Tamandua tetradactyla: one gene and its partner. The protein of the gene in region 1 purifies or fractionates together with the protein of each later gene. This does not show direct contact. Links are inferred from orthologs where the notes say so. Each region holds a gene or a part of one and is shown in the gene's direction. Other genes may lie near its edges.

Evidence for each region.
Region 2: the proteins of TBPL1 (region 1) and GTF2A1 purify together in Homo sapiens (affinity purification with mass spectrometry; 5 studies listed by BioGRID and IntAct, counting the BioPlex papers as one, with this or other methods). This does not show direct contact. The link is inferred for Tamandua tetradactyla from reciprocal best matches to the Homo sapiens genes TBPL1 and GTF2A1.

The regions. Positions count from the first base shown.
Region 1 is NC_135351.1:34,322,355-34,338,899, forward strand, and holds the start of TBPL1 (TATA box-binding protein-like 1), read left to right. Parts: upstream 1-7,712; 5' UTR 7,713-7,822; intron 7,823-7,843; exon of another isoform or gene 7,844-8,233; intron 8,234-8,662; exon of another isoform or gene 8,663-8,921; intron 8,922-16,545. UniProt on the Homo sapiens protein: Part of a specialized transcription system that mediates the transcription of most ribosomal proteins through the 5'-TCT-3' motif which is a core promoter element at these genes. Seems to also mediate the transcription of NF1. Does not bind the TATA box.
Region 2 is NC_135338.1:40,817,778-40,833,964, reverse strand, and holds the start of GTF2A1 (transcription initiation factor IIA subunit 1), read left to right. Parts: upstream 1-9,001; 5' UTR 9,002-9,434; coding exon 9,435-9,464; intron 9,465-13,283; coding exon 13,284-13,385; intron 13,386-16,187. UniProt on the Homo sapiens protein: TFIIA is a component of the transcription machinery of RNA polymerase II and plays an important role in transcriptional activation. TFIIA in a complex with TBP mediates transcriptional activity.

The DNA.
Region 1 (16,545 bases):
GGATTAGTAATATTCTTTTAGTAATCATATTTAACAACTCAAGGTTTAAAATTAAGCACACCTTAACCCCTCTTTCGAACAACACAAGTCTTCCAGACACTCTTCTTGTAACAACTTATACCCCCAAACTTAACTGAGTTGCTAAGTATGATACAGTTTCCAGAATGAAAATAAAGTGGGTAACTTTTCTACCACTAAAGGGTGAATTTCATTTCTAAATAATACTTTTACTTAATATATTTCAAAATAATGTTGTTTAGGACATACAAATTTCTGGCAGCTTTATCTTGTGAATTATTTATCAAATGACCAACCAAAATAGCTTCCAGTAGGTGATATAAAGACCCATATTTACCTCTGTGCCCCTCCAAACATCTATTAAAATGACAGAGAAAATACAAGCAGAAAAATAAATTCATAGCAGCACCAACATCCTGGATGAAGTGTCAAACAGAAATCTAAAACAGTGGAAAACTTCTGGAGCATATAAATTAGATGTCACATTAGAGTGCTGTTTCTGAGGAGGGCAGTGGGCTGGTAGGAAGAGGGGAACAAATGGAGACCACTTTGTGTGTGTGTATGTGCTTGTTTGTGCGTGTATTTTCTGAATTGAAACAAAGATATGTACTCATATACCATCTGTGTAGAAAGTTACATAATCATCTATAAGCAAACTAGATGGATACAGATTCAATGATAAAATCTAACAGAGCCAAGGATCTTTTTTATCATCTTTCAATGATAAAATCTAACAGAGCCAAGGATACATATGACAAATGCCATAAAACAGTGCATTATTTATGGCTTTTTAGTGTGTTTTTATTTCTGGCAGTAGTAATGTTCTTCTTTTGCAAAATTTTCTATGATATGCTCTTGCATTTTCTTTTCCAGATGAAATTTAGAATCTGAATAATTCCATAAAAGGTAGTTCTGCCCATGTATTGGGATGCTGTTAAACTTACAGATAAATTTAAGATGAATTAATCATTATGCCACTGGGTCTTTCCATGCAAGCAGTTTTACATGGGCTTCTCTTTTTCTCTCCATCTTCTGTCTCTGCTTCTCTCTCCATGTCGGTTTTGTCCTCTGTAGTAAGCGTTATTCTCTTCCTTGCAGAGGAGAATGTCAGTTTATAGCTCTTAAGTCACATCTTCCCAGTTTCACCACCAGAAAAGGAAATTGCTCTTTTCCCCAGTTTCTACCCCAGTAAAACCTTGGGCAGGACACTCCTTGGCTGGGCTTGGGCACATGTCCACTTCCAAATCAACCACACAGCCAGGAAGGTGGTGTAATGCATCAGTCTGAGTCCAATGAAGAGATAAATCACACAGTAATTTGGACAGAGACAGTATAACATAAAGAATTATCCCCTATAACAGGGGATTGGAATATTGAGTGACTGGCTATTAAGAAGTAAAGAGAACTCTAAAGATCATAGGAATAGCACAGATAAGGAGCAGCCGCTAGGCTTAAGGCTGAGATGGCGCACCCGGGGAAGAGCCTTCTCCCCTCTTTACATGGCTGAGATTCAGACCTGTTGGAGAGGGCATGACTGTGGCTCTCTGGATGACAGAGGACTTGCCATGATGTTTTGCAGACATAATTGGCTGGAAATCTCTCCTTCTAGTGCTAAGGAAAGCAGTTCACAGGGACGTTTCTCACTGGGGGCACTCTGCTACAAAACCACCTGAGGGAGAGGGGATGGCAGGGACAGGGGAGAGAGCTGCAGGAGATGGGCACTGGGGAAGCTCATGTGTTGCAGGAGGCATATACACTAAGGGAACCTGCCTGACTATCCAGCTTCTATATATGCTCTTCTACAAAAAAAAAAGAAAAAAGAAAAAAATACTGTGTTTCTACCTGGCAAGATACAACCACGTGTAGTTCTCATCTTGCCCTTCCTCCAGAATGAGGACATACAAAATATTATGCATTATTCCATGCATCACTGGCTATATTAATCAAGCCTTAAATTCAGTCATAGTACCACCGAATATTCTGTTACCTAAAGACTAAATTGTAAGGTTAATTTCTAACAATTTGAATATATAATAAAAGTAGAAATCAATGATAAGGAGAAAATGGGGAATAAATACAAATAAACACATATAACAAACCAATAGGAAATATGTAAAGACATTACAGTCTTTGTCTCTGTAATTGTTCACAAGGATATAATTAATTTCTCTAGCATCCTTCTTTCACTACCCATTCTGTATTTCCCCTACTGTTAACTAGAACCTCAGTTGGTTGGGATTCTTTACATGGTGGAGTGACCCAAAGACTTGGAGTACCTCAAACATTGTATCTTTTATTTTTGGTTACTGAAGTTTTCCATTATCCTTAATATCATACATGGATGCACTAAGAAGAACCCCAGAGAATCCCCTGAGTTGTAGATCATTCTCCTTGCCTCCACTGTATAGAAACAAAGCAATTTTCCCTTGGAAAACAGGATCAACCACTCCAGCCAGTAGACTATTCCCTGTTTCTGATTTTTGGTTCAGTTGCATTAGAAGTCTAGGTGATAGTCTTATCTTCCAACTTACTGGAACCATTGTTGTGTCCCCTGATGGAAGCATCTCCCCCTGGGGACTAAGATCTCCAAACCAGCAGTGGTCAACGTTGCCAGGTAAAGAAGGAAAAATTCTGAGAATGAATTATTTGGTAAAAGTATGAGAAGAGACAGTCCCACTTCCATTTCTTGACTCAAATGTGTTTTGGCTTGGGGGAGATAGCACCATATAATGGTCTATGGTTCAAAACAACCTATAAAACAGAATCCCATCATTCCCAAGCATTGTCTCCTAATTGGGACCAGTACTGAGTCTTCCGTAAGTCATTTCTTCTTTCAGTTAAACTAGTTGTATCTAGATGATTGTGTATGTAATAAGACCAGTTAATCCCATAGGCACAGTCCCATTGCTGCACTTCCTTCGCTATGAAATGAGGTCACTGATCAGATACAACATTGCATGGAATGTCCTGGTGGTATATAAGGCATTTTTTGAGTTCACAGATAGCAGTGCAAGCAGAAACATTATGGTCAGTGAAGGCAAATCCATTTCCAGAATATGTGTTTATTCCAGTGAGGATGAATCTTTGCTCCCTCCATAATGGAAGTGGTCCAAGGCAATCAATCAACCACTAGGTTGTTTGCTTATGACCTTGGAGAATGGTGCCATATCAGGGACCTAATTTGATCTCGGCTGGCTAGTTAGGCACTCAGAAGTAGTGTCAGCCAGGTTAGCCTTGGTAAGGAGAAGTCTGTCTTGATGAACCCATGCATAGTCTCTATCCCTACCACACGGTCATTTTTGCATCATTCATTGGGCAAGCACAGGGGTGGCTAGGAAAAGAGACTCATTGAAACCCACAGTATGACATTTTGTTCACCTGATTAAGAGTCTTCTCTGAAGTGGATACCTTTAGTGGGCATTCATAGGACACAGATACCTTCCCATTCAGAGAAGTACACCCATAGACCTTACTTGTCACAAATCTTCTAATCCATATCTGAGCACTGGACAAACCATTAGCAACCACCCATGAATAAAGGTAGATCTCTACTTCTGGCCATTTCTCATTCCAGACATGGTGAACAACCAAATATATTGATCAAATTTTGCTCAATGGGGGGATTTTCCTTCACCACTGTCCTTCAGGGTCACCTGTGAATGGGGCTTGGGAAGCCTCATATGCTACAGGAACTGCACACAAGAGGAGTCATCAGGGTTGTAGGAACCTAACAAACGGAGTACACTGGAACCAGGAAGCAAAATCCTTTCCTTTTTGCATGCTCTTTCCAGCATCCTTTAGTGACTAAACTCAACATTGTGGTAGCTAACAAAAGAAGAATATTTACAGAGTCCAGATCCATTTTCACAGAGAAGGCAAAAAGACTGAATTTGGAACTGAGAGGCAATAAATCAATTAGTTATATGTACTATGGTTGGCCCAGCTTAGGTGAGAAATCTGCCTTTCCACCAATTGCCTTGGCTATTGCAGCTCCTATTTTGAAGGACATCTTAAGATTGGTAGTAGGGAAAGAGAAGAGTTGTTCCCCAAATAAGGGGAAAAAGGTACTATTTTCAAAATAGGAGAGGACTGTTAGGCTGACAAAAACAATAAACAGCCTCTACACTTGAACCTTTGGCAGCTTAGCACACACATGGGCATGCACACACCCAAATAGTTTTCCCCATATTTCCAGGTCCTCTTAACACAAAACAACTATGGATTTTTGGGTTTGTTTGTTTTTTGCATATTCCATGTGCAATTGCAAATGTACTTAATCCACATAACATCCAGCCATTGAATCCAGCTCCAAATTCAGGATATTTGAGTCTTGTCATTCTCAATGAAGTCCCAATGTTGCTAAATGTTGAGTAATGAATCTACCCCCAATGCACCAGTAGGCAATAAGGGGGAAGAAATGGGATAGAAAAACTAAAGAGAAATGGCAAAAATGAGAAGCATATACAATGGATGTGAGTGTATACTATACCCTACCAGACAAGGGCAATAAGGAATCACTAGGTTAGCAGAGAATTTAGATCTTTGATCAACCAATCAAATGCAAGATTTCTTTGTTCCGTTGACCTCCAAGACTTTGCCTTACAGAGGTAGTGAGGTGTTGGGAATTGAATTATATCCCCCACAAAAGATATGTTCAAGTCATAATCCTTGTTCCTGCAGGAGTGAACCAATTTGTAAATAGTACTTTTGAATACGCTAAGGTGAGATGTAAGGAGAGGTCAGGGTGTGGATTCCTATGAGGATAGAATCTTTGAAGACCCTACTTTTAGATGAGGCCAAATTGAATCTGATGGGCCTTAATCCATATGGCTGAAGAAATCTAGATAGAGACACAGATGACTGAGCAGGAGAAGTAGAAACTAGAAGAGGAAGCCACCTGCCAGAGGCAGAGATGCAAGCCAAGGAACCCCAGGATTGCAGCAAGCCAGCACCCAGAATGCTACTGACTCTGGGAAGGGGCACGGCCTATCAAGACCTTGATTTTGATTTTGTACTTACGGCCTCCAAAGTGTAAGACAACAAATTCTTGTTGTTGAAACCAACCCATTATATGGTATTTGTCACAGCATCCTTGGAGAACTAAGACAGAAGAAACCTCCTGCCTGGGACTACCCTGGCCACCTACTTCATCTTCCTACAGCTATAAGGCCTGCCTGGAACATTGCCTTTGAGACAGCACAATGGGAGGTGCCTTTTGCCAAGTTGAGGAATACTTGCAATACCTTGAAACTTTATTTGGCTGCCAGTCCTGTCATTATGATTTGGGGGAAATCCATTAATGTGCTATCAGAAATCTCATTCAATTGTGAACTTTGAATATGCACCTTGCTCTCCCAGTTTCTATCTCTTGGAAACAGGCCTGGTAACTCCATCCATTTCTCTAGATTATTGTTCCACAGTTTTCACCACAGAGTCTGTCAGACTCCATCCCTTAAGTGGTACACCACTCAATTGGGATAATGCCCTCTCTCAGTTGGAAGGGGAACATGGCAGATGTCTGGCCAGAGTCCTGGGAAATGAGGCATACCTGATCCCAGTTTCCCTGGATCTCTGCATTCTTAGTTAATGCATTAAGTTTATGTAGGGCAGAAAATTTAGCTATTTGAATTCATAGAGTAGATATTATCTGACTTTTTCAGTGTAGGATAACAACCACTGGCAGAAAGTACCTCTCTTAACAAAGCTGCGTAATTATGCCACTACTGCCCATCTCTTTCAGAAAGACCACGCTGAACCACAGTTTGTCTCTCTCATAGTACTAACTGAGGAAGGCAAGAAATAGCCAAAATATTCCAATTGCCTTATTTTTTAAAAATCATGTTTCTTAAAGTTAGAGCCTTACTAGGCATAACAAATAGCAATCTGAAAGTTTTGAGTGCCTCTCAAACTTTCTGGTAAAGGATCAGATTGTTTGGGACTTTTTCTTCTTTTTTAATTACTAACCCACCACCACGGGCAAATGCTTTTGTAAAATACAAAATGGTATGCTTGGATTTCATGGCAATGTCAAACTGCTGAAAGTTTCAAAATGCTTCTCTCAGTTTCTGTATTTATTTCATCGCCGACTACTAGTTTTCAGTAGCACTGGTCTAACCCACAATGTCTGATACTTTCCCAGCCTGGGACAGATGGCTTTTCAGTCTCCACCTCACCTTGACTAAGCCAGTTCTACATTTTCAGATCTGACAATTGCATTTCCTCATTTCAAACTACCAATTTCTGTATTCATTGAGATTTGTTCAGACCATAGACCACATATTTGAACCATACAATGTGTTGTCTCCCAGCTGACACCTGAATGGCACATTATAAGACCAGTGAGGCCCATGGGCTTTGGCCCATTGTCTGACTTCTATCACTGCGAAGTGAATTATTTGGTCAGAGGAATGCTGCATGGGGTAATGTGACAGTGTAGAAGCGTTCAGTAAGTCCACGAAGAGTGGTTCTGGAAGCAAAACCAAATCCAATTCCACAATGAGGAACTATTGTAGCAAGGCAAATTGTTGACCAATCTGTGAAAAAAAGGGAATTCAAAGTAATTAGCATGCTTGACATCAAATAGTTTGTGGATCCCCTTGAGGAAGGATGCCACGTGAGAACTTCATAATTGGTCTAATTGGTCGCTGATGCTGCAAAACTGGCTATTCTTCAGTGACAGTAATCTCAGGAATAGATTTTTTCCCTGCCACCTCCTTAGCAAATCAGACCATATCACTTTCAGCTTAATATCTGGAAGAAAATTCAAACTCCTATGGCCTACAAGGCAGCAAACTGCGGGTTCAAGGCCTAATTTCTCTCCAATTTCATCTTACATTGCTCTTCCTTTTGCCTGCCCCCCGATGCCCCAGCCACACTAATGCCAACCTCAGCAAGCTTTTAGCACATTCTGTTCCCTCTGCCTGGGACACTGTTTGAGCATAACTCCCAACTCCATTCCTTTTCCATTTCAGCTCCTCCTAAAAGTCTGCTCCCCACCTCTCCATAGACATTTCTAATCCACCCTGATGTTTCTTTTCTTCATTTCACCTTAAAAGCCCCTATAATTATTTAATATTATTCCAATAATGCCAGTATAGCAACGCAAAGAAAGTGGGAATTCCACAACTCTAGGGAGCTTTTAAAGGTTTAGATATTTTTCTAAATACCCAGAGTGAGATGCACAAGATCAAGAGGCATTCTTGGATGATTCATAAATAAATCCTCAAATGGTTGCAACCACTCAAATCCCCTAGACTTCAGCTCATGGTTTCTCTTTCAAAAGGACAGTGCCCGTTATCATTTTTCATCTTCGGTTCACACCCAGCTCATGGTTTCTCTTTCAAAAGGACAGTGCCCGTTATCATTTTTCATCTTCGGTTCACACCCAGCTCATGGTTTCTCTTTCAAAAGGACAGTGCCCGTTATCATTTTTCATCTTCGGTTCACACCAATCAAAGGCCAGGCACCCAGAAGCCCGCCTGATGTTCCTGTAATAACGAAATCCGGGCTTCGCGTTGGCCTCGTGCGGGAGCAGAGGCTTACGAAGGGAGCCGGGCTCGGGAGCACGGGCCCGCGCCAGCCTGGGACGGGGGGATCCGAGGGTCCCGCGCTGCTCCCCGGGCCGTTACAGGAGCGTGGCTGGCGCGCGCCGGGCCTCGCAGAACGCCCGGAGGGGCCCCCGCAGGCCCCCGGCACGGCGGTTCAAACTGGCGAGTGTGCGCCCCTCGCGGTGCCCGGGTCATTCCAGGGCGACATGGGCGCAGAGCCGCGGAAGAGCCTCGGTAGCCAGACGCCCGACTTCCACGTGAGCGCCCTCCTACCCCGGTCTCTGCTCACCGCCCCTGCTTGGCCTGCAGCGACCCCTTCACCGGCCACTTCTGCCGCCTTTCCCTTTCCTCCCCTCTCCCGCCTGCCGCCTCTCCTCTCCCGCCCCCGATCTCTCCTCGCCTGCCGCCCTCTCTGATCGGGCTCTGGGGCGCAGAAACCTCTGAGTGCCTCGGGGCTCCCGAGGGGACCCAAAAGCAGGAAGGAGACTCGCAGGAGCAGGCGACAAAAGCGCGACCTCGGCCCCCTGCGGTATCCACCTGTCTGTCCGCCCGCCCGCGCGTTCTCGGCGCCGCCTGCCAGCGTGGAGGAGGGCCGGACTCCCTCAGCGACACCTTTCTCGGCATACCGCAAATGAAAGCATTTATTCTAACCGGGAGAAAAAAATGAAGTAGGACTTTTTCACAAAACAAGTCTCCTTTCATTGTTAAGGAAACTGGCTCGGCCAGTTATGTTAAATGGCGGATCTTTTCTGTATATTGAAAGTTGTCAGATTTTGACCCAAAAAAAAAAAGAGTCCGTTTATAATATATTATACGCCAGAAATTACGTATACAGTTTACATATCAACTAAAAATGTGCGAGCGAAAGTGTTTCCAAAATCTTTTTAAACGGTTCTCGAGCAAAAGGGCAGGCCCAGCCCCACCGCCTGGGGAACCCCCACCCGGCACATTCGTCGCAAGGGGCCCGCGGCCTGGGGAAGCAGGAAGAGCGTGCGGCGGTGGGGGAGAGGCAGGGGCCGGAGCAGTGAGAACCGGATGTGGGTGGCTAGCGGAGAGCCGAGGCGCTTCCTGTCGGGCGGCGCTCTAGCCGCCGCGCGCCGTGTCTGTGCTCCCCCGCGCCGCCTCTATTTATTGTCGCGGGGAAGCGGCTGCCGCCCCGGACCCGGAACAACAAAGCGCCAAAGCCTGAGCTCGCGCCCCGGGGGCTCCTAGCAACGGGCGGGGCGGGAGTTCCATGGAGACTGGGGAGCGCGCCCGCCTCATCATCATCCTTGTCCTCCAGCTGATCCTTCGCGTCCGCCGCCACCGGCAGCAGCGCTGCCGCCGCGTCCTCTGCCGCCGCCCCCTCTTCCCACGGTAACCCCGGCGGCGACCCTGGGCGGCGGCGACCCCTGGGCGGGGGCGGCCTGGGGCGGGCGGTGAGCGGCGAGTGCGTGCGGGGGTCGGCGGCTGGGGGGCAGCCCGGGCCGAGCGAAGGTCCCTTCCTCCGGCGGACGCAGCGATTTCGGGGTATCCCAGTAGGGATAACGGGGTGGGGGTGGGGCGTGACTTGCCGGGAGCGTTCTCCAGGCGGGGGTGGGGGAAGAAAAGAGGGGCTTTATTTTCCACGGCGGCCACAGCCGGGGACGGCGGGGCAAGGGAGCGCCTCCATCTCTGCGGAGTCCTCCCCGCGGGGAAGAGGGACCGTCTGAGATGCTGAGGCTCCGTTGCTTCCCAGAAAACTTCCAGCGGCCTCCCTGCCTGGGCGGGAAGGCTCCCGAATAGCAGCTTCGTCAGTTCCTGATTCTGGCGCTGCCGGCTGCCCCCTTTCTTTTATTACTATTATTGTTATTATTGTTTTTGACCAAAATTAGGTTGGATGAAAGGGGATCTGGACTGAGGAAGTTAAAATGAATTGTGGATAGGGCTAGTCAGGGATGAGAGTAGGGATAAACGTTTAAGAATAGCCCTAAAAGTGAATCTGTGAGGAAACGACGGTTTTGTAAGAATTTCTGCTGCTCACGGGACGTGTATCTGCAGGCTCTGTCAGCGCGCTTATTGCGATAAGACTCAAATGCAGCAAACCCACATCTGTGAGCTCTCCAGCAGCATCTGTCACCTGCCGTTGCGAAGCTTCACTGGCAGCAACTTAGCGTGGGCTTGTGTATTTAGGGCTACGAACGGTGCCTTCAGTTGGCGGCTCAAGAAAAGGGAACAAGCTTGGTGTGATTTTTGTATGAAGAAGCAACGACACGTTCCCCGGGGAAATTGAGAAAGAGAAATCTAAAGAGAAGGTTCCGCCATCCTGGCATGGTCTGCAGTCTTTATTTGAAAGTTTGAATAAATGACAGCCTCAGTCAAATCTAGAAGGGACTTTGATTACTAACCGGTTTAAGGAATTATTCACAGCTTGATATGGCCAGTGAAATAGTCATCAGTGTATGCTTTCTCTTTAAGCCTTATATCAACGTACTGAATGTTTTTTTTTCTTTCCAAAACCATTCTAGGTCAGTAAATGAGGTTTGCCTGTGGCAATCTGAAAAGGCCACGTGTTCATACTGCAGTAATACCATTTTTGTGTACAATGGGAACAAAGCTCTGTCTGTAAAAATCACGATTAAAGATAAAAGCAATATTGGTAAATCATAGAAATAGTCATGGCAGCGGCAACTTCTGGTTGTCCCCCACCATTCTCGGCAACACTTGTCTTCTCTTAAGGAAAAAGATGTCCTTATCCCTAGCCTCACCCCCTCTGCCCCCAAAATCAGTATCAAAGTATAATGAGCTACCAGTAAGTGTTCTTCATTGAATGGTTGACTCCTGAATGAGGGCTAGCCAAAATAGAGTTTTAAATTCAGTTGGGCATTTTCATTTTAAGCGGTTAATCTCAAATTGAAGTCCAGTTTCTCTTATTAAAGGAATATTGTGTCAGTACAAAGAGGTAGGCAGTTTCACTTAACAGGTACGGGAAGTATGAGCATTGGGGAAATTATAATCCCATTTTAAGACTGTTAGAAAGGAAAACTCAACACTGTCACTTTTGGAGTAATGAATCAAGGACTGTTGCTTAATCTTTTCACATAGCTGTTCTTCTAGAAAGGACATGCCCCGGGGTCGGGGACGGTGTGTGTGTGTGTGTGACTACTTGAGGCCACCAGAATTTTTGTAGTGCACATGAGACTTAAGGAATTCCCTCTTATCTCAGAGCTGCCATCAGACTCACTTACCTAGATCGTATTTGCTCTTTCCTCTTTCCTTCCATATTTAAGTGTAGGTTAAACCTTAGCTTCCATCTTTATTAAAAATCCAATTTCTGCTCTCCCAGCTCTCTGGGTCTTAATTTTTTATGTTATTAAATTATTTTTGCTTCCTTTTGGGTTTTCAGCATATGTACTCAGCCTGTACACCCTTTTAGTTCTGCTCTTTGTTGGGTTTTCTTCTGTGTTCCTCCTCTTTATCTGGAAAATTGGAGTAGCTATGTCAGTGTTTTGAGTAACTATGAGCTACAGGTGAGAGTCTTATGCTGAGCACCAAATGATTGTGTGGAAATGATATGCAAAAGGTATTTAAAAACTTCAGAATGAAAGTTTTTTTGAAAGACTAAGTTAATACTAATACTAGTGTTAATATTGTCATTGTAAGCAGTCACTTTTGAAGGTAAAAGTATTTTAATGCCTGCTGTGTCTTATATTGAACCTTAGGTTTTTATAGTTCTTTTTCAAAAAATAATTTCTTAACCTACCTTTCTCATGATCTTGCAACTGAATATTTGATTGATGATGCATTTTGCAAAATTTGAGGAAGCTTTTTAAGTGCTATCCATAAATTTTAAATGAAAGATTGTCACATCAAAATTTTTATGCAAGTATACATATATAGGATGTACAGAATTTGCTGTAGAGCAAAAACAACTGAAGCACACTGCTGAATTTTCTTGTTGGAGAGTATTATTTCTTATGGCTGTGGCACAATATTTCATAAATCAGCAAATACTGAATAGTCTAACTGAGTGTGATCATGCTGTTTTCAGGTATAGGAGCCAAGAATAAGCTAGAGATTGATGATTTCCTTATGTTGCATCATAGGCCATGTGATGAAATTATTATGGCTATGAAAAATAAAGTTGATTTAGAGGACTTAACAGTAGAATGTTTTCGTAGTGTCTCTGGTTTCAAAGCTTGTAATGCTTTTAAAGCAAAGCTGTATTGTGACATTGGTAGTAATGAAGATTTCCTGAAATTTACATTCATGTTTGCTGCACCTTTTCTATACCTAATGCCCTGTCAAGTAAACAAAGCTGGATGACAAGTGTCTCTCTTTTGGCACATAGATGGCAGGGCAGTGACATGTATGGCTAACAACATGGCAGACACAAATTGGAACGTTAAACCCTTTTATCGCATACTGCCTGGGACTGTAGTTATTGATGTACATATTTCATGATGCCTGCTAAATTAGAAGTTCCTTAGGGACCAGATTATGAGTCACCATCACATTGTATGTTCTTGTATGTGTGTGTGTTTTGGAGGTAAAAGTGTTAATAGAAGGAGAAACACATACACGGATACACACACAGACAGATATTTTATTTATTTTACTTCAGGAGAGCCCATGAAGAGGGCCTTAGCTGGTGGAATGAGAGAACCGTGCTCGATGCATAAAATTTCCAACTTTTTATCCTGGCTGTAAGTTATAAACAGCAAAAATTCCTCAAATATGACTAAGGCATTGTTTGAACCAATTTGAAACAGTCAAAAGCATAACAAGTAGATATGATGTTTGTGCTTGTCACAACATCCCTTTGAGAAATTTCAAAAGGGTAATCATTTTATAAATATCTCAGATCTTTCCAGGTGGTGTAGACAGACTTCATTTTTGCATTATGAGGCAGTCAATCTTTTAATTAGATGAGAGATAGAGTGTTTGTGTGTAGTGTAAAAAGCAAGAATCCACAACGTATGTCATTAGTGGAAAGGAATCACGTTGTAACTAATTTTACTCATCTGGTCTTACCTTAAAATTCAGAATTTGGGTTTAATAGCTGGTTTGGAACCGGACATGTGCTGCTAGGGGTCCCATTAAATGTTTTAAAAACAGCAAAGGAACTTTTGGGGCAGTTCAAATCTGCCTTTATGTGGGAGTCAGTAATGACACTGTTTAAGATTTCACACACACACACGAAATGCTGCACAAGCATTTGAGTGTTGACTTTTTCAGAAACAATACTGAAAATCAGGTGATGTGTCAAGGACAGTTTTCTTAGGACCTGTGTGGATGATTTAGTACTGGATGTGCTTAGCACAGTAGGCATTCATCTAAAGACATTGGCCATGGCATGGTTTTGTTTTTTAACTTAGTGAGCACTTGTAGCATCTTAAAAGAAGAAAATGTTTGTTTCTTTTGACTACGTGGTTCAGAGGAATCAGGGTGTTACCCTCTTCCTCCAGATAAGTTACAAGTATTTTCATTGTTGAGACAGAATGAAATTTTGATCAAAATTTCTTGACATTTGGGTTAGAGGGCTGGAAGTAGTTTTGTGTAGTGTTTAGTGTATGCTCTCAACATAGGCTGCCTGGGCCCAGCATGGGAACCCTGCTGCTTTTTAGCTGCATAGCCTTAACCAAATTATTTCACTATCCCAAGTCCCAGTTTTCCCATCTGCAATATGGGCTTAATATTAATATTAGTCCTATGTCATAGGATTGCTGTGGAAAGTAAGTTTGGAGGGTGCTTCGCCAAGTTAAGAGATGAATAAATGTTAGCTGGTGCCAATAGTAGTGTTACTAGATAGTATATTAAAGATGAACCTTTAGGCCATTTGAATAATTGTTACTTTCTTTTGGAGGCCTTCGCCTGAAGCAGTGAAATCTCTTCTTTGTGATCACTAGCTATTAGAGGATTCATTTCTGCTTTTAGGTGTTTGGTGGGAGAGTACTTCTATTTTACTTTGAATTGTCACACAGGCATCTGGTTCTCACTGGCAGTGGACTAGGTGAAAAGAGACCTCACTGTTTCTTGGGGAAAGAGAGTCAACCAAGCGTGGCCTGGCTGGCATCACAGTGACTTCAGTGCTAGTCCCCAGGGGTGTGCTGCTTTTGTGACTCCACAGCCTTCTGAATATGAGGGAAAGATACCAGTGGTTTCACCTGGGGGAACTTGTCCTGCTTTAGAAGACACTACTTTTTACTTGGATAACTTAATGGATGGTAAACTTGAAACTTGCTAGTATGTCAGTGTCAAGCATTTTAACTTGTGTTTTCTCTGTTACTATTAATGTTCTAAATAGTAACTTTCTTGTAATTCCAGAAGTCTCTGAAATGGCTGTAGTGTTCCAGTAATTCAGGTGGTTCAAGAACGGCTGTAAAGTTATTCCCCAGCACGAAACCAGCTATTAAACCAAATTCTGGATTTTTAGCACCCTTTATTTATAAAATAAGACCAGATGAATAAAATTTCTGATACGTCCTGCTTCCTTTCCACTAATGACATGCTGGTGGAAATCATTGCTCTTTCACAACTGTACAAATAGGCACACTCCATTTCTCTTCTAAATAGAAGGTTGAATGTGTCATAATAACAAAACTCAAATTTATCTAGATGGCCTGAAAGGCCTGAGATATTTATAAAATGATCACCCTTTTGAAATTTCCCAAAGAGATAGTCATGAGACAAGAGCAAACGCTGGATGTGCTCAATTAAGGCGGTAAACCATTATTTTTATTGTTTCAAATTTGTTTAAAGCTGCAACTAAATACTAGACTGCCTAATTTGGAAGATAATTGGATACCTTGGTTTAGGCTGCTATGGATATAGCTAATTTTTTTAATGTTAAGTCCAAATGTTTTATTTTAGTTGTATGGGCATTTAAAACTGCTGACTAAAAAATAAATGTCTCTGCTTAAATGAAATGAATTACAAACTGTTCTTTCTAATATCCAGATCTTGATTTTTAGTTGAAATGTCTTTTTAGAAAATACAGATTATAGAAATAAAATATATTATTAAAAGTAAATTTTACTTTAAATATACAGGAGTAAAAATGTAATAATTCCAGCTTCCAAGTTGTCCTGTTGTTTTTTTGTTTTGTTTTGGTTGGTTTTTATAAATTTCCCCATGCTAAGGAGATTAGTAAGTATAATTGTATTTGAAGGTATAACTTGTGTTTTTTTGTTTAAAGAAAGTGAAGCCTAGTTGATACTGTTTATTTAGTTGAGCAGCTAGATTGGCTGGAATAGATTTGGTGTTGATATAATGCTGTTAACATAACCATCATGGAGTCTGGATGTAAGACATATCAGGGTAAGAGATAATACCGTGGGGTATTAGATCCCTTGAGAACTATGTTGGGAGACTTTTAGGAAAACAGGCCTCTAAGCTGTCAGTTCTTTTGTCCAGAATAAAACTTGCCTTGTTTCAGGATCGTGGTCCCTAGCGTTCTTTCCACCCCACTCTTCCCCCCCCCCCCATAGATGTTGCTACCCTTCAGATAATGAAGATAAGAAAGCCAGTGTATAAGCCAGAAGTTGGCTTTTGCTTCGATTTATGACTATGGTTAATATCTATAGAGACCTCCTCTGTCTGTACCTCAGCTACGACTCATGAACCTACAGCTTTTGTGGAAGAAGAACCACCCCATCCTTTTTAATTGGCCTGATACTTTTGTTGAGTCCCACAGCCTTTTTTCTGACCTGCTTATGGTTACAGTAGCTTCCTGGGTCTCTCCAGCTACTTGTATGTGCAGGTAGAGTTGTAACTAGCATCCCTTTCACTGCACGTGGACTGAATAGACTCCAGGATCTTTGCTGGTTGCAGGTTAGGGTGGGCATAGGGGACACAACCATGTTGAAAGCACGGTCACTAGTTCATCAGCTCTCCCTCAGTACAAACTGGGTATGCTAGTCTCCCAAGGCACACTTGCCTTCTTACCTCATTTCTCTGCCTTTTGTTTTGAATGGAAGGTGCTGAGATGAGGGATGTGACGTGGCTCAGTGGCTCACGACTGATAAACTGCAATCTGAATAATAACTCTGTCAGCTCCTCAGAAATATTGCCAGTCTGAATCTTTAAGTCATTATAGTAGAGAGAACCTTTAGCTGGCCAGTATCTTGAAGCTTCCATTTCAATGCATAGTGCAAAACTACTGGAATAATTGTTTAATTTGTGTGTGCCTTCAGAGCATGTGCCTTTTTATTTTCTCTTGCCAGGCTTTTTGTTTATAGCTTGTTAAATTGGAAGCAATTCAAGTGTGTAAACCCATATTCTTAATGTAATTTATTTGTCTTTTTATTGTATTAAGTCTCATTTTTGTAGGATAGAGAAATAAGGTTTGATCATCAAACCCTCTTTCATCGAATGGATGTTATCCTGAGACTGACTGGCAGGGTAGCCATTCTGTGATGCGCAGCTATCATGAGATAGCCTTAGAAAGTCAATGAGTTAGGACCCTTGGGGATAAAGTAAAGGAGAGTAACTCTTAGGGGAGGAGAAAGAGAATGGACATCACAAGTACAGAGGGTCTGCATATGTGTTCTAATGAAAATAATTCTTTACACCAGAAATGTACAGGCATACCTCGTTTTTTTGTGCTTCACTTCATTGCACTTCCCAGATACTGCCTTTTTATAAATGGAATGTTTGTGGCAACCCTGCATCAAGCAAGTCTATCAGTTCCAGTTTTTTTTCCAACAATATGTGTTCGGTTTGTGTCAGATTTTAATTAAATGTACATTGTTTTTTAGACAAATTGTTATTGCACATTTAATAAACTGTAGTATAACAGTTTTTTATATGCACTGGGAAACCAGAAAATTCATGTGACTCACTTTATTGCAGTATTCACTTTATTACAGTGGTCTGGAACGGAACCCACAATATCTCTGCAGCATGCCTGTATTATACTTACAATTTTGTAAAAAGGTCCTGGATCACAATTTCCCTTTAGGGAAATTGTTTAGGGCTGAACTACAACTAGTGAAAACTTGTTAGTTGCAAAACACTCGAA
Region 2 (16,187 bases), on another chromosome or scaffold:
GTGGCTCAATAAATATTTATGAAATGAATTGAAGAAAAGTCTAGTGGGCATCAGGCATGCAAAAAAAATTATAACACATTTTTAAAAAATGTGACAACTTGCAAAGCTTAGAAAAAAAGAATATTTTCAGGCCTTGGGAATTAGGGACTGCTTACATTGTGAAAAATTGTTTTAATTTTCTCTTTAAAATATGTTTAAAGAAAATATTCAAATAATGATGCCAAATGTTATCACTTTCTAATTGATTAAAAAACAGGAATATGTAAAAACAATGATAGGTTTCATAAGAACTTAATTCCTTCCACTGTGGAAGAGGGAGAAGCAAAGAAGGGGAAGGGAAGGAGGGAGCAAAGTTAATGAAAAGAAAAGGGGAGACCGAGAGAAAGATAGAACTTGGAACTTGGATTTGATTGTGTTTTTGTTAGCCAAGATTAGAGAGAAACATTTGGACATAATTAAGAAGCAAATACATGATGAATTCTAACCTTTGAAAAGAAAACCATTGTTAGTGAAAAATTTCATTAAGGAAGCTAAAAATACATGGAAAAGAAATGAAACACAACCCTAGGGACTGTGATTTCCTAGTTTTGTGTTCTGTCTTCACCTCAGGTGTATTTTGCCATCCTGTGGCCAAATAATAGTATTGATGGTCTTCATTACAAACTGCAACATAATGTATTGGAAGACTGAAAGTCATCATTTGAATTTAAGAGTTATTGAGGAATGGTAATGCATTCTAGACTTGACAAATAAGCAACTATGTATCTTGATTAGGAGTTATATAAAGCTTCTCATTTTAAATGATCTGAGTCATTCCATTATGACAACATCAAAGAAATTGGTGAAAAATATACTAATTTAGAGTGTTGTATATGTTTTGTCTCAAAATCGAAATTGCATTCTTCTTTGATTAAAATTTTTGATGGAAAAAGTTACACACCTAGAAGGTAGATGTAGATTTGCTTACTTGGTGGATTCAGTTCAGAACTACATTCTGATCCCTAATCTTTGTTTCACAGAATAGATCTCATCATTTAATTTTCTGTACTATTGATATTACTGTTGTTGTTGTTGTATCTAACATTTACTGAGGACTTACTCTGCGCCAAGCACTGTGCTAAGGAACTTTCCATGGATTCTCTGAAGTTATTTGTGCATGGTCAGAACCAGAACCGGCACTGCGGTGTGTTTGACTCTGACGCTCATACTCTTGGGTATTTGCCATACCACCTGTCATAGTCTGCCAGGCTGGTCTGACAAACACCACACACTGGGTTGACTTTAAACAGTGGGGATTTTGTGGCTTACAGTTTTGAGGTTAGAGGAGCCCAAAATCAAGATATCGGTAAGGCAATGCCTTCTCCCCAAAGTTTACAGTGTTCTGGTGCTGGCTTGTTGCAATTCTTAGGGTTCCCTGGCTTGCATCTCTGCCTCCCATCTCATGGTGATGTCTTTTTCTTTGTGTCTGCTCTCTGGTTTCTGATGACTTCTGGCTTCTTCTATTGGTCTTCTGTGACTTTTGTTTATATTTCCTCTCACCATTTTCTCACTATTCCTTTCAGTTCATTCCAATTTACCTTCCATCTCCACCACTACACAATCATCGTTTCTGTCAAAAAGTCTGTGACTTTTTTGTGTGTCCAAATTTCTTCAGCTTTAAAGGACTCCAATTATAATACAGATTAAGGGCCACCCTATTTCAGTTGGACCACACCTTACTTAAAATAACATCTTCAAAAGGTCCCCTTTTCACATGAATTCACACAAGAACAGGAACACAGATTATGTCTTTCATTCAGCCTCCCATATCACTATTTCTTTTTATACACACTGCCTCTTTTAATTTATTGCTCACTAACATTGGCACAGGTACAATTTAATTTTTTCTATCTATACTACCATAGGTATTACCATAAAAATACTAATACTACAAGTAGTATTTTTTCTATTTAAAACAATGACCCACTAGGTAATACAGAAAGAAGAGCCTTTCCCAATTTTTTACCAGTAAAAAGTCATCCTACATTTTTCTTGTTTATGAAAACATTTAAATATAATTATGATGCTAAAGAGAAATGTTTTGATTATCAAGAACCTCACTAAAAATTACTGCTTTTGACAAATTCAATAATTAAGTGCTATTTGTAACTGGAAATTGATGATTTTCAACTGATATAGGAACACAGAAATCAATTACTTCAAATAATTTAATAAATGCTTTTGGATGATGCATTTATGAGGCTAATTATATTTAACTGGGACAAAGTTTAGTTTCAAGTTTCCGTTTTGTGTTCATTAGCATTTCTCTTCTTCCAAATAAAGGTTAAAATGTTATATAATAAACACATTAAAAAAAAATTCGGGAAGCAATACAATTCAATTTGAACCCTTCACATTATCTTGGCCTGGCAGCATCTTACCTCTAAGACAGGTGGAAAGAGTCCTCAATTTGTCACATCTAGGCTTTCACCTGTAAATAGCAATATAACCTTTGGCAAGTCACTACTTAACCTTTATTCAGACAGAATAGATATGATATTACTTATCTCATGGACTGTATTAAACTGTAAAGGAGATAATGTGTGACTAAAGATTTTTAAAACCCAAACACAGCAGTATACATCCATTATTATTATTGCTTCTCAATTAGGCAAGATACACAAGATGGTAAATTGTCCATCCTTTTTTTTTTTTTAATCTTTTTCCTATTTAAACATTCATTCTTTTTTGTCTACTGGCTATTTAACTACTTCTTCAAAGATTATCCCACAGCATTAATCCAGAGCCTTAGTTCTCAAGAAAGTATCTGGACTGTACCCTTTGATTTTCTCAGTTACTCTTCTGAAAGTAAAGTTTAGCCCTTGGTATTTTTTCAGATTTCTTCCATTCTGGTCTGGAATCTATAATAATCTTCCTGCCACCTCTCCTTTTATAATCTTTGCTCTCTCTACTTATAACCTCTACTATCAGAGGAAGGTAAGTTCTGGAAAAGAACACAGAAGACCAGCTGCTAGCAATCCTTGGTTACTCTGTCACATGGCATAACACGTGGGAAACATCTACTAGTCTCTCTCTTGTCTCCCAGATTTCAACGACTTCAGCCTCTTGCTTCCAGGGCTTTCTTTCTCTTTGTCTGAATTTCATTCTCTTATAAAGTACTCTAGGAATAGGAATAAGAACTATCCTGAATAAAATGGGCCATACCTTAACTGAAGTAGCCTCATCAAACCGGTACATACCCACAGGAATGGATTAAATTTAAATACAGCTTTAATCTACCAGTCTGTGTCAACATATAGTTTGTAGATTATAGATTTAATTTACCTGCTATGATGTATTTTATTAGAAAGTCATCTATGTAGAACTCTTTCACATCAGACGCCTCTATCAAGTTGAAGGCATTCGAGCAAGAATATAAAAGTGACGGGTAAAATAAAAAACACTTGACCAATTAAAGTATATTTTAATAAAACCATTTGAGCAATCACCCTGTAATTTTCACCATTTTTAACTGTCCAAAATCACAGCTATTCAAGTTGTGATTCAAGATGAGACACACATAGCTGAGATCCAAGAATCAGAGAAAGAGGAAACCCATGTAATTAAATACAGTGTTTAATATTAATTACATTTATAGCACAACACCAGCCTTCTCCTTGAATAGTGATGAAGTCATTTATCTGGAAGACAAATCGTGTGGATAAAAAACCATCACTTATTGTAAGATAATACTTCATTGGCTTATTTTTAAAAAAATTTTAACAGAGAAGGTTAAACATATTTAAAAAGTAGTATAATGAACTCAACTGTACCCTTCCCTTCACTCGGCTTCAATAAATAAGGTAACATTCACAGGTTCCAGGGATTAGGAAATGGACATACATTTTTGGGGAGCTGCCATTCAACCTACTATATCTACTAAGTGGTACTCAGTAGTACAGTCCATACAGGAAAGCCTTTGATTTTTTTTTCCCTTTGTTACCAATTTTCAAAATAACAAGTTGTTTCTCTAGCAACCTCCAGTGGTGTCCAATTAGAATTTTTTGCTTGACTTGTTTTTAGTATTATGAATTAATGGATTTAAATATTTGATGTAGTTAAACCTGTCTTCTCTTTGTCAGTGGCAATCTCTCCATGTTGGCTCCTTGAAACCTTTTGACGTGACCTTAGAAACTTTCCTGGCTATCTGTATAACAAAATGCTCTAGATTCATTTTGTTTTATGCTGAGCGATAACTGGAAATTTCATTTGTTTTGAATTAATTCCTTTCTTGCCTCAGTCCTGGAGTCAGCAATATTTCCTAGGAGACTTAATTCCTCTTCATGAAAAATTTCAAGGTCATAGATGTGCTCGTAGCTCACGTCTATGAGGTTGGTGATTGTAGGCTTTTTTAGAGCAATGAATGTTATGTAAGACAAAACATTGAATTTCTTTTCTTTTTTTAAGGAAAAAAGACATTTCTTGCTCTGGAATCAGAATTAGACATTTCTGCAAGGTGCACCAGTTTTGAAATACTATAATCTGAGTAATAGGTGTACTCATTGATACTGGTTGGTCAGTGTTTCTAGTCCTTTAAGGGCTAGGGAAAAAGATTTTAAATAAAATGCATCATAAAATTTCTTATTTAAATTCAGAATTTTTACTTAGCTTTTTCTCTATTAAATCATTTTCTTTCTCCCTTGCTGAAAATCCTGCGATAATTAGAACTTCTCATTATTACTTATTTTCTTTATTCCACGTCACATAAAAATACATATACAAATATATATATAAATATATATAAATACATGTATAGGATAAATTTATAAACACCATCACCATCAACACAAATACTGAAAACAGTTAACTTTTTCTGGCATTTCTTTTTGCCTTTCGATAACATTGCTACATTTATATAATCAAAATCTATGTGTTTTAAAGTCACTTGAAAAAATTCCTCTGTTCTACTATTAAGTACAGTTAGGTTGACTTGCTTCATTTTATTTTCAATTTGGGAAATTTATTTTCAAAAGTTAATTTTGTTTTATAATTAAATAAAAAATTTATATGGTTCAAGAGACAAATTGAAGAAATAAAGTATATTTAAATAAGTCTAGCTTCTATTCCTGTCCCCTCCATGCTATTCCTTCACTATTCTTCCAGATAACTGTCTTTAAAATTTTTATAGTTTACCTTTCTTTTTAAAAAAATACAAGCAAACCCATGTACACATATTTTTGTATAGCCTGTTTCTGTAAGTGGTGGCATACGAAGAACACTTTTCTCTCTCTTGATCCTGGAGATCATTGCAAAGTGGGGTACAGAGATATTCCTCATTCCTTGTTATAGGGGCAGAGTACCAAGATACTCCATTGTGTGCCATAGTTCACTGAACCTATCCCATAGGGGCAAGTGGCAGTTTTTCTAGTCTTTTGGTGTTACAAACAGTCTCACAATGAATAGCCCTGGGGATACATATTTTCACATTTTTGCCAATGTATCTCTGGGAGAGATTCCTGGAGGTAGCATTGCTGAGTCAATGAGCAAATACAAACATAATTTTGCTTGATATCGTTGGATACATATGTAGTTCAATAATTTGATGAACTCTAATAGGCAAATCAGCATCAGCTTAAGAAGTCATATCTCATTACAGCATAAAATTATTATATTAACATACAAAAATTATGTTGTGTAGTCACCATTTGAAGTATCAAAATTTGGCCAAACTTCTTGTAGATAAATTAATCCTTAAACACTGACATCATTTTAAAAATCTAATGGTAGTCTATAAAGTGAGTTAAAAAAAAAACCCTCCTCCCCTGCATTAATGATATGTATAGCTGTTATAGACTTATCATTTACAACAAAATCATATACCAAATACTTGTGAAAGAGCTTTCCAATATCTTTAATCTTCACAACAATCATAGGTAGTGGTTATTATTCCCATCTTACTGACAGAGAGGTTTTGTTACTGCAGAAGGTCACATGGTAAACAAGCAGCAGAGCCAAGCCTGATCTGGAGCTCACTCCGCAAAAGCTCTACACTCCGTATTCACTAAGTTACTTTATTTTTTCTAAGCGACCACAAAACACCTTATATTTTGGTATAATTATCGTTTTAAGACATGCAGTAGCAATTTCAAACCATAAGTTAGAAGGGAGGAAGAGAACATAAAAAAAAACAAAAAACGAGTAGGGGAAAAAAGCCTTCTCACATGTGTAGAGGTAATATGTGTGGTTAGCAGTTTTCTTATATTACCCCATGAAAGAAATTATGGCATGTGGAAACTGGCAGATTTCTGTAAAGGCCTAAAAATAAAGTGAAATCTGATTACAAATTTTTGTTAGGACTGAAATACAGTACACCACTGCTTTAAACAACTTATATGGATCTGTAATCACGCGCTGCACTTTACAATTAGTGTCAGTGTTGGGGATTGACTCACCCGCCTTCCCTACCACCCGCCCCTCCAAAGTTTACCCCTAGTCCTATAGGTATGAACTCAATAGTAAACAACAAGTATTTCTGAAGATTCTATTAAAAGGAAGCCAAACTAAATTACAGTGGGCCTTACTCCAGTGTGACTGGAATTCTTATAAGCAAAGGAAATTTGAACACAGAGCTCCAAGACCCAGAAGGCAACAAAAAAGTCATCATGAAGTAACAGAGCACTACTATGCATCTAAGTATATGGCTGTTATAAAATATGAGTTCATAAATCCAAAATCCAGTATAAATGTTTATATGGTACAAAGAGATGTTAAAATTAGGAGTTATTCAAACTTTAAGAAATAAAAAAGTTCAGATAAAAATAATTTCAAAACTGATGCAAAATCCAGTCTTACATAGGAGGAGATTTCTGCTCACAAATTTTCAATTTTGTGAATTAAAGGGCTGTTGCCTCCAAATATTCATGTCCACAATTTTGGCACAAGATCAAAATTTCTTTCTGAAACGGAACTAGCACACATGGTACCTCATTTACCTAATTTATAACAGCTAAATGAGGGGCTGGAAAACCAACAAATTGAAATGGAATCCACGATGGTTATTTAGATGCCAGGCACATCGAGCAAGAAGGAAAGAGACCGGTAAGTATTAATAAAATGCTTAGGCATTATTACAATTTTGGGGTTGTAAAGAAATAGGCAACACTCAGAGCCTCCAGAGAGTCTGAGGTTCTTGAGTTCAGGATTGGATTTTCTGCCTTTTTTTAATCCAATAACTGTATTTCATTATTTCACAGATCAGAACTAATCAGAGTTTATATCTCATCAACCCCCTCAGAGAGGATTAATTCTGTGGAGAGTAAATCTCATAGATGCTCATTAACCTCCTGTCAGTAGTGATTTTTAACCTTAACTGATGGCAAAAGCTCTAACAGTTAAGAATACCTAGTGGTAGGGGAAGAAAAGGTGGAAGGTAAGAGATTCCGTATCAGCAGTTTGGGAGTGTTTAAGGAAGAAACAAGAAGTATTCTAAAGACAATAATTCAGTGAAATTTATCTGTAACGGTATTGTTTAGTACAATTTTTCCAGTTGTCACCTGAATATTAAATGAATTACAAATGTTGTTGAAATGAAACGTTATTGATATTCCAAGAACACTATGATTTCCTGTTATTTTTCCTCCTTTCTTTAAGGGTCCCAAACAAGCTGCTGTGCAGGGAACTGTAAGGTAATTGGGTGGTAAGAGGAGAACCGAGGATAAAATGGTGTTAAAAGAAATCTCAAGGTTAAGGGATATTCTTTATATCCATTCACAAATCACCCACTCCCATTTTCTGCGTCTTAACGGCCTCGGATATCTCTAACCCTTTCCTTAAGGTCATGACAGGCTGCATCTTTTCCTCCCTCTGATAGGATGCTTTTGATGTTTATTTAAATCTGTTTTCATCGGCATGGAACTTTCGACATTTTGCTTTGTTTTGGCTTTTGAGGCTAAACGCTCTCGTTCGTTCAGACTACATTCCACGTATCTTAAAATTCTTAGAGACAAGAAAATTAGGTACTGTGCGGTCTGTTCTCCAAACAGAGCATTCTCTGTTCCCCGTGAAATGCTGATATAAAGGCAGGATTTGCTTGGGTAGAGCAAGTCAAAAGCCTATTAAACTGCACTCCAAGACATGGACGTTTTCTGCCTGCTCTCACAGCGAGAGGCCATGCGAGTTGGTGGGTCAGATTACTCACTCATGGCCTGCTGGCCGTGTGGTGTCACAGCAGTTTGGAAATATTTTAAATTATCAGCACGATGTGCTGACTTAATCCAGTGGTAAGAGTTCCGTTTTTTTTTTTTTTTTTTTTTGGCATATCCAAAAGGGTGAGAAGTTATTTAAATTTAAACCGAAAGACATTTTCACCTCTCACTGTGGAGACAACAGCGCAGCCGGTTTCGGGGAGTTACTGCTTCTGGAACGTGAAAACACAGGGCCCGAATGAGGTTTCGTTCCCTTTGGAAACACGTACACAACTAAGTGAGCGAAACAGCCAACTTGGGCTAGAGGCGCGAAAGCCCAGCGAGGCTGACTATGAGAGATGACTCCGCACTTGAAACTGCCGGGTGTACGAGGCTGCCCGGGGCCGGAAGCTGAATCACGTGACCGGGCCACCTCAGCGGCCATTCCTAGCAAGGCTGCTACCACCTCCCCGTAGACATTCCGTAGCTCCTGCAGCGCGGCGCGCGCACATACGCGTCTGACAGGAGGCGGTCTCGAGTGTCACTAGAGCTCGCGCCTTTTCCAGCATTGCATTTTGCAAGCTTCTCGCCCAGAGGAGCTGCCGGAGACTTCCGCCTGGGTGCCAACCACGTGAACATCCGACACTTGGGATGGCATCACTTCACTAGTCCAGTTCGCGGGCTCAGCTAGCCCAGCACTCTCCACGGCGCGTGACGACGCGACCCGCGGCAACCTCCGCCCCGACGCGCCTGCGCAGGCGGTTCTCGCGGTGTCTCGCGCTCAGCCCCGCCCACCTCCCGCCCCCGCCCTTTCCGCCCCTCCCTCCCCCTCCACCCTGTCTCTCGGCGGCAGCGGCGGTGGCGGCGGCTCGCGCAGCTTGTTGGCTTGCTATATAAAGGGGCGAAGCGGGCGGACCGACGGCTGGAGCTGCAGCCGGTGGCGGCAGCGGCGGCGCGGGGAGCGGCGACCGGTGTTGGTTTCCCTCCTTCGCGCGGGGTGGGGAGCGGGCAACGCCCCCCAGGCCTCTGGAGGGTCTTGGCTTTTTTTTTGTAAGGCGGTTCTCGAAGATTTTAGCTCCGAGAGGAGTGTCCCCTCCTCCTCTCTCCACCGCTCCCCTCTCTACTCCCTCAGAATTCGATAGTTTAAATTTTTCCCTAATCTTGCGGTGGCTTGGGTCACCCTCCGGGTGTCTTTGCTTTTTTTTTTTTTTGGCTTTGTTTTGATTTTGTTTTCTCAGGGTCCCCCCCCTCTTGTTTGTGTTGTGTGTGGAAATGGCGAACTCGGCAAATACAAACACCGTGGTAAGGACGTGGTTCGGTGGCCGGCGGGGGCTTCGTTCAGGCGGCAGCAACGGCCGAACCGGGCGGGGGCGGGGACGGCGGCGACACCGGCTTTGACTCCAGCCGCCCGCGCGGCCGCCGTCGCCGCTTCCCGCCTCGGGCGGCCCGGGCCGGGCGGCGGGCGCGGGGGGGCGCCGAGGGCTGGCGGCAGCGGCGGGGCTGGCGGCTGGGCCTGGGGCTGCCGCGGGGCGGGCCGGGCCGCGGAGGCCGTTGGGCCGGGACGGAGGGAGGGAGGGAAGCAGACCCTTCCCCCCGAAGCGGGCCCGTCCGTGCTGGCTCGCGAGAGGTTCCCCGAGCAGCTTCAAAACAAAAAAGATATCTGGGGAATTGGGCGAATCCCAAGACCCACCGTGATCCACTTTAACGTAGTGGAAGGTTAATGGCTACTTTGAGGGGTAGAGGTGGATTAGTTTGGATTTTCCTGGAGGCTGTGCTTCGGTAACCTTCACTGAGGCCATTTTATGTTTAAGAAAAGAAGGACGAAGGTTGGAAAGCACTTATCTCGGTTCCTTCGGAATCGGTAAAATGGCGAAGGGGAAGCAAAACCCCCAATCGTATCTTCGACTAGCAAAAGCACCAAGACAAACAAAAAAAAGCCTACAGTGCCCCTGCTTTCGCCTTAAAATTTGCCTACTACTACCCGTTTGTCCCTTTTTGGTTACTTGCGATCACGTAGGTTTGCAAAAAGCAGTCACATAAATAACCTTTTCAGTCACCAACGCAATATGATCACTAATCCACCCGAGTCGTTTATTTTTATTTTGAAAATAAAACACGTTTTTGCCCGGCCCCAAATGCCGCAGACAAACCCGCGGCCGCACGACACTGTACCGTTGGCGACTCGGGTCGATCCATCATGGCTGCGGCCGCTTACCCTGCTTTTCAGTCCCTGAGCCTTGTGGTCCTCCTCCCTTTGGCTGCCCTGTTTATATAGAGCCATTGCCGCTCTCTAATATAGACTCTGCCAGGATGGGAAGGTGCTTTTCAGGCCTACGTCACCGCCTCTCCATTTAAACACCAGATCCGGCTTTAAATAGTGAGAGCTGCTGCGAGCGGGGCTGGGAGGTGCGTGCTCCCGAGGCGAGAGGCAGGCGCGTGCGGAGCTCTTTTTATTCTTGGGTCCAGCTCTTTTTTTTCGCAGCAGTTTCACACCTAACTGGGGCTGGTCTCGGAGCCCCAAGGTTTTGTTTTAGTGCAGGAACTAGGATTTGCCTTCTTTGTTTTTGTCAGGGGAAATAGTCTCAAATTGCTGTCCAATTAATCGCTTTGTTTTTTTAAAAGAGGGTTTTAGATGGTCTAATCGTTTTTCTTGTTATTAGGAAGTGTCAGCATATATTGTTGGGTATTTAAAAATGCTTTCCACAATAAGTGTTAAATGTAAAGGATTTGATGTTGGTAAGAATATTTTGTTCATTAAGTATCAGGAAATATGTTAGAAATATAGATGCTCATATTGCATTGTGTTTTCTGCTAGTAAATATCGAAAAATAGCAGGCGTTTCAAAGAAATAGTTTTAAGACCTTATGCCCACGGTACGTTTGTGTGGGGAGTAATGAGTGTAGACTGGATTTAAGAAATTAGTAAGTAGGCTGTGCCCTTATTGCTTTAGATAGTAACATAGTTTGTTGTATGAAAATCCACAGTTTATTTTCCAACATTGCTTTGCATGTTTGTTGCTATAATACTGATTTTTTTTTTTTTTTTTTTTTTTTTTGCCAGAAGGAGTCTATAACTTGAATCATTTAAAATACACCAGGGGACTAAAGAAAGGAACTGTCTAAATTAATTACTTGAGAATGCTACTAATAGCCCTCGAAGTTAACAGTTTTTAAGTTTGGAATATCTGTTTTTTTACAAATGAGGACACACCTCCTGAATTACTGTATTTAGCAAAAAACAATTTTTGCTTAAGTTTAGAATTTTAAATTATAATTTGGAAATTGTTTATTTAAAATAGTGGCTGTATACCCACGTATTTTTTAAAACATCAGTGTTTTTAGAGCTTTTCAAAGAGATTTCTGCTAAATTGTTCTTTATGCATATACTTTATGAAGAATAAACATTTATCTTCCTCTTTCATTGATATTGCTTATGAATCCAGCAGAAGTTATGGGTTCATTAAGGTATATAAAAACAAAATCTTAAAGCAAGATGGATTCATTAAACAGGAAAAAGCAAATTTGTCCCTGTAAATGTCTGAATTTTCAAGCCAAAGATTTTTAGGGTTCACTGGCTTCAGGAACACCAAAACAACAGTAGTTGCTGAAAAAATAATTTATATAATCTATTTGAGATATATACTATCAATTTAAGGTTATATTGCTGCTTTATAATGCTTTGAGGGGTTATTATTGGTTTAAAAAAACCCACTTAATAGGTGTAGCTTTGTATTTTGATAGTTAAATTACTGTTACGTATAGATGGTACTTTATAAGTATATAAAAAGAGATAACACTTTTTATAGATGAGTGATGCTAAATCCACAGAGGCAAATTTAAATAAAAAAGCAAGTTGGTGAGTGATACAGCAAAAGTGAGAATTCAGACATATGAATTCTTTTTCTGTTTATAATGAAAAGGAATTTATATTTTTTAGTGGTTTGGGTATGTTGCACAGACTCAGTATTTTGACCAGACAAGGACACATTTTCTTAGAGGGTTTCCTTGTGATAGCAATAGCTAATAGAGGTGGTAATGAAACATTTATTTGTTTGAAGTTTGCTTATGAGAACAAATCCTTGACTTTATTAACTAGTCAGAAACTTTATGCTTAAGCAAGGTATAAAACTTTATGGTTAAGCAAGGTATAAAACATAAACATGACATCCTACTTGTCATTAAAAACAGATTGTTGATCTTTATTCTTTGTGATAATGAATGGGATTTATAATGAATTAACTTCAATTTCATCACTCTGATATATAAACTTTCTTTTGTCTAACATGTTCATAGGATATGAGCTGGGCTAATTGGTCTTTCTCCCACTTTTTGGATTTTAAATACTTTATACTTTTAAAAGGGCATCCACGTTTACTCTCCTTTTATCCTTCTGACAGCCTTCTAGGAGCCAGCTGTAAGCCCCCCCAATTAAAAAATAATAGTAATATAATAATAATAAAATAAATATTGGAAGTGTTCATGATTCTCTTCCATAGCATCACCTGGAAAGTAGTGGAAGGAAAGAGGTATCCTGGGAGAGAATTCAGTGTATCTTGTTCTCCTGGAACTATTAAGATCTGTTATTTTGGGTATATAAATGATTTAATGGTACAGTTTCAAAGTACGGATTGGATGACAAAAACAGAAATAAGATGAATTTTGAACTTGACTCCTCATTAGGTTGCAGATTATTGGCAGGCAGCTGACTATAGGACACAGGGCTCTTCAAAGTCTAAGATTTAGTGGCAAGGTTATGAGATGAATAGGTCAGACCATGCAGTAAATAGTAGGAACCAGACATAAGTATCCCACAAAGCTAATATTGAATATCACATTAGGTGTTTTGACTACAACATAGAAAAGTGTAACTGGTTAACTATGTGAGCCAGTTATATAGGACGTTCTGTTTATGAATTTTATTAAATAATCTTAAAACTTGTATTATAACATGCAGTCATTGAATACTCTAGTTCTCTATTATCTTTTTAGTTCCATTTAGTTTTAGGTAGTTGTAAAATGACTATTGTATTACATTTAATTTGTTTTGAATTTGTGAAAACCTATTGTGTTCAGTATGTGGAAAAATGATATTTTTCAATAGCCTTTTATTTTTCTTTTAAAGCCTAAATTATATAGATCTGTAATTGAAGATGTTATTAGTGATGTGAGAGAAATCTTTCTGGATGATGGAGTGGATGAACAAGTCCTCATGGAACTAAAAACTGTGAGTTTGCCTTTTAAAATATATATATATTTTTAAAATTAATGCTTAGTTTCCCAAACATTACTTTTCACTGAAAAATAATCCATAATTTTTCAATAGGATGAACTTTTGACTGTTGCAGGAAGCAGTATTGTTTATTGAAGGGTGCTGCTCTGGGGTCTGACAGCTTGGTTTCAAATCCCAGTTCTTTCTCTGACCTTAGGCAAGCTACTTCCATGTTTCAAGTTTCTTATCTATAAGATGAGAATTAATAGTATGTACATCACAAGATTGTTTTGAGGATTAAATACAATAACCATATAAATAAGTGCTTAGCATACTGCCTGGCAGAACATTAGCTGTTAATAATGGACAGTTAGCATTTTACATTTTATGATCTAATTACTTGTCCCTTCTTTTTTATGGTCTGAACGTACTTATATTCTGAAGTCTGTTTAGGTTATAGGGATTGAATAAGAGCTTGATAAAAGAATTTCAGGCTCTTGAGTTAAGTCCTTTATCTGGGCCAAATATGTTTCTAATGTATTTTACTTGGGAAGGTGATTTTCTTTCTGTTGGATTTAAGCAGAACGATTTAGATACTTTTATTTAGCATTTGTGTTTTCCTAGTATTATAATGATAATGAAATCAAATGGAATATTTTTGCCCTATTGTTTCAAATAGTGGTTCATATAGTGTGGTCTCTGCACAACTGGGGACTCCCTTGAGGTCCTTTCAGGGGGTCCACAAGGTTTGCCAAATGTGTAAGTATGAATAATCATAGCTTGTCCTTCATTCAAGTGAGGTCGTGTTCCCTGAAGAAAAGTGGCCAGTTCAGCTTGCAACTCAAAAGCACAAGTGCTCTTTTCTTTTAAGGCATTTCTCACTAAAAAATGTTATTTATGTTAACATATAATGGATTCATAAATATTTTTTTAAAATTAATAGTTTTTAAAATTTTTAGCTATAATTTCTGTTACTGTAAGTATAGATATAACCCACATAAACAGAAGTTTTTTGAGATCCTGAATAAATTTTAAAAGTATTAAAGCTGTCTGAGACTAAAAAGTTTTAGACCTCCTGACTTAGAAATTAGGTATTGCGCTAATTCAAAGCTATGTACAAATAAGTAATCACAGTTAATGAAAGCTAAGGAACATTTAGCATTGATTCTGGGGTTTATTATTACCTGATCTTCATCTATTCCAGTCCTGGATGTTTTCTTCCTAAGAAGATTTGCTGCTGAGATCTGGGAGGTGCTGCCAATGACAGCATGTGCTCCTTCTTAGTTTTGATGCAGGAGTCATGGGTTCAGCTCCTGGAAAAATTGCTGTTGGTGCAAGTCTTGGTATCTCTGTAACAGTGCTGTTGTTAGCATTGCCCTTAGGGGAAAACTGTTTCTCCTATCATTTCTTACCAGAAATATAATTAGTAGTGTTTTATCCAGGAGCTAGATGTTTTGTGAAAATAAGAGAATTCTTCAGAATTTGTAGCCTAGCCTACTGCAGGAATCAACCCTGTGAGGTGTATGTCTAATTACCTATCTCAGGAAATAAACTTAGAGGGAATATGCTAAAGATCAAAGGTCATTTAGCTAGTAGGTGGTAGAGACTTGAAGGTCAGTAAGAAGGAAGGTGTTAGAGATATAACTAGATTTTGGTTTAGTGACAGGTGGTACCTGGTATGATTTTGAGGGCCACTCACTTGTTGTGAGTGCAGCAGTATATTTGAGATTAAGAGCGTGGACTAGGGTTGGGACTAGGGTGCAAAATTTAATTAGACATTGATTTGCAGGATCATGGCCCTGGGTGGGATACTGAAGTCAGGTTGGTTGCATTGTATTCAGAGCTGTATTCTGTTCTGCTGGCTCTTCGTTGGTGATCTTGGATCTATCTATGCCTCAGTTTCCTTTTCTGTAAGGAAAAAAGGCAATAATAATCCCTATTTCATAGTCTTATTGTGAAAAATCGTTCTGTACTTGTAAAAAGTATACAATAAGAGCTCATAGATGTTACTCTATTATTAGTCTAATTAACATCTTGAATCATTTGGGAAACAGAAAATGCGTTTTCTTCATATCTAATTTCAGAGACCTGATAATTTAGGTGGGGCTGCCTGAAACAATAGCTATGTGTTGGGGGGAGAGAGGACTATAAAAATGGGGGGAAAGGAGCATTCTTTCTGTTTTCTAAGATAAATAAATAAATAAATAACAATTCAGTATTCTTTGTTGTCTTCAAAAGTTATTAGTATTACTGCTGTCACAGAAAACTGTTAAATTGTTTAAACAGCTGTTTACAAAAGAATCTTTTGATAAATAAAATTGTATATAAAATGAAATAGAGAAATTGTAAACATTCAATAATTCAAATTTTATATTATTTGATATTTTAAGATTGATGAGTACTTGTGTGGTACTATTTTTGTGTTCCTCACGGCATCTAGAACAGTTTATGACACTTTAGTAAATGCTGATTCTTAGTAGATTACTACCCCATTCTCCCACCACCCAAGTTGTTGGGAAATGCATGGGGCCGTGTTTACTTATCTTAATGACTAGTGGACTCCTCTGGCATTTAGTGGGAAGTAGCCAGGGATGTTACATATTCTTCATGTTAAATTTCCTGTAAGATTATCCTTTACAATAAAGAATTATTTTGCCCAAATGTCAGTAGCATCCTTGTAGAAAAACACTACTCTAGAAAACAGGATTCTTATTTACCCTCACTTCTTTGAATTTAATGTCTTAAATGCCTGATAAGTTTTCAGTCATTTTGTTAGCTCCTGGATTAATACATAGTCTCTGCCCTGAAGGAGTTCAT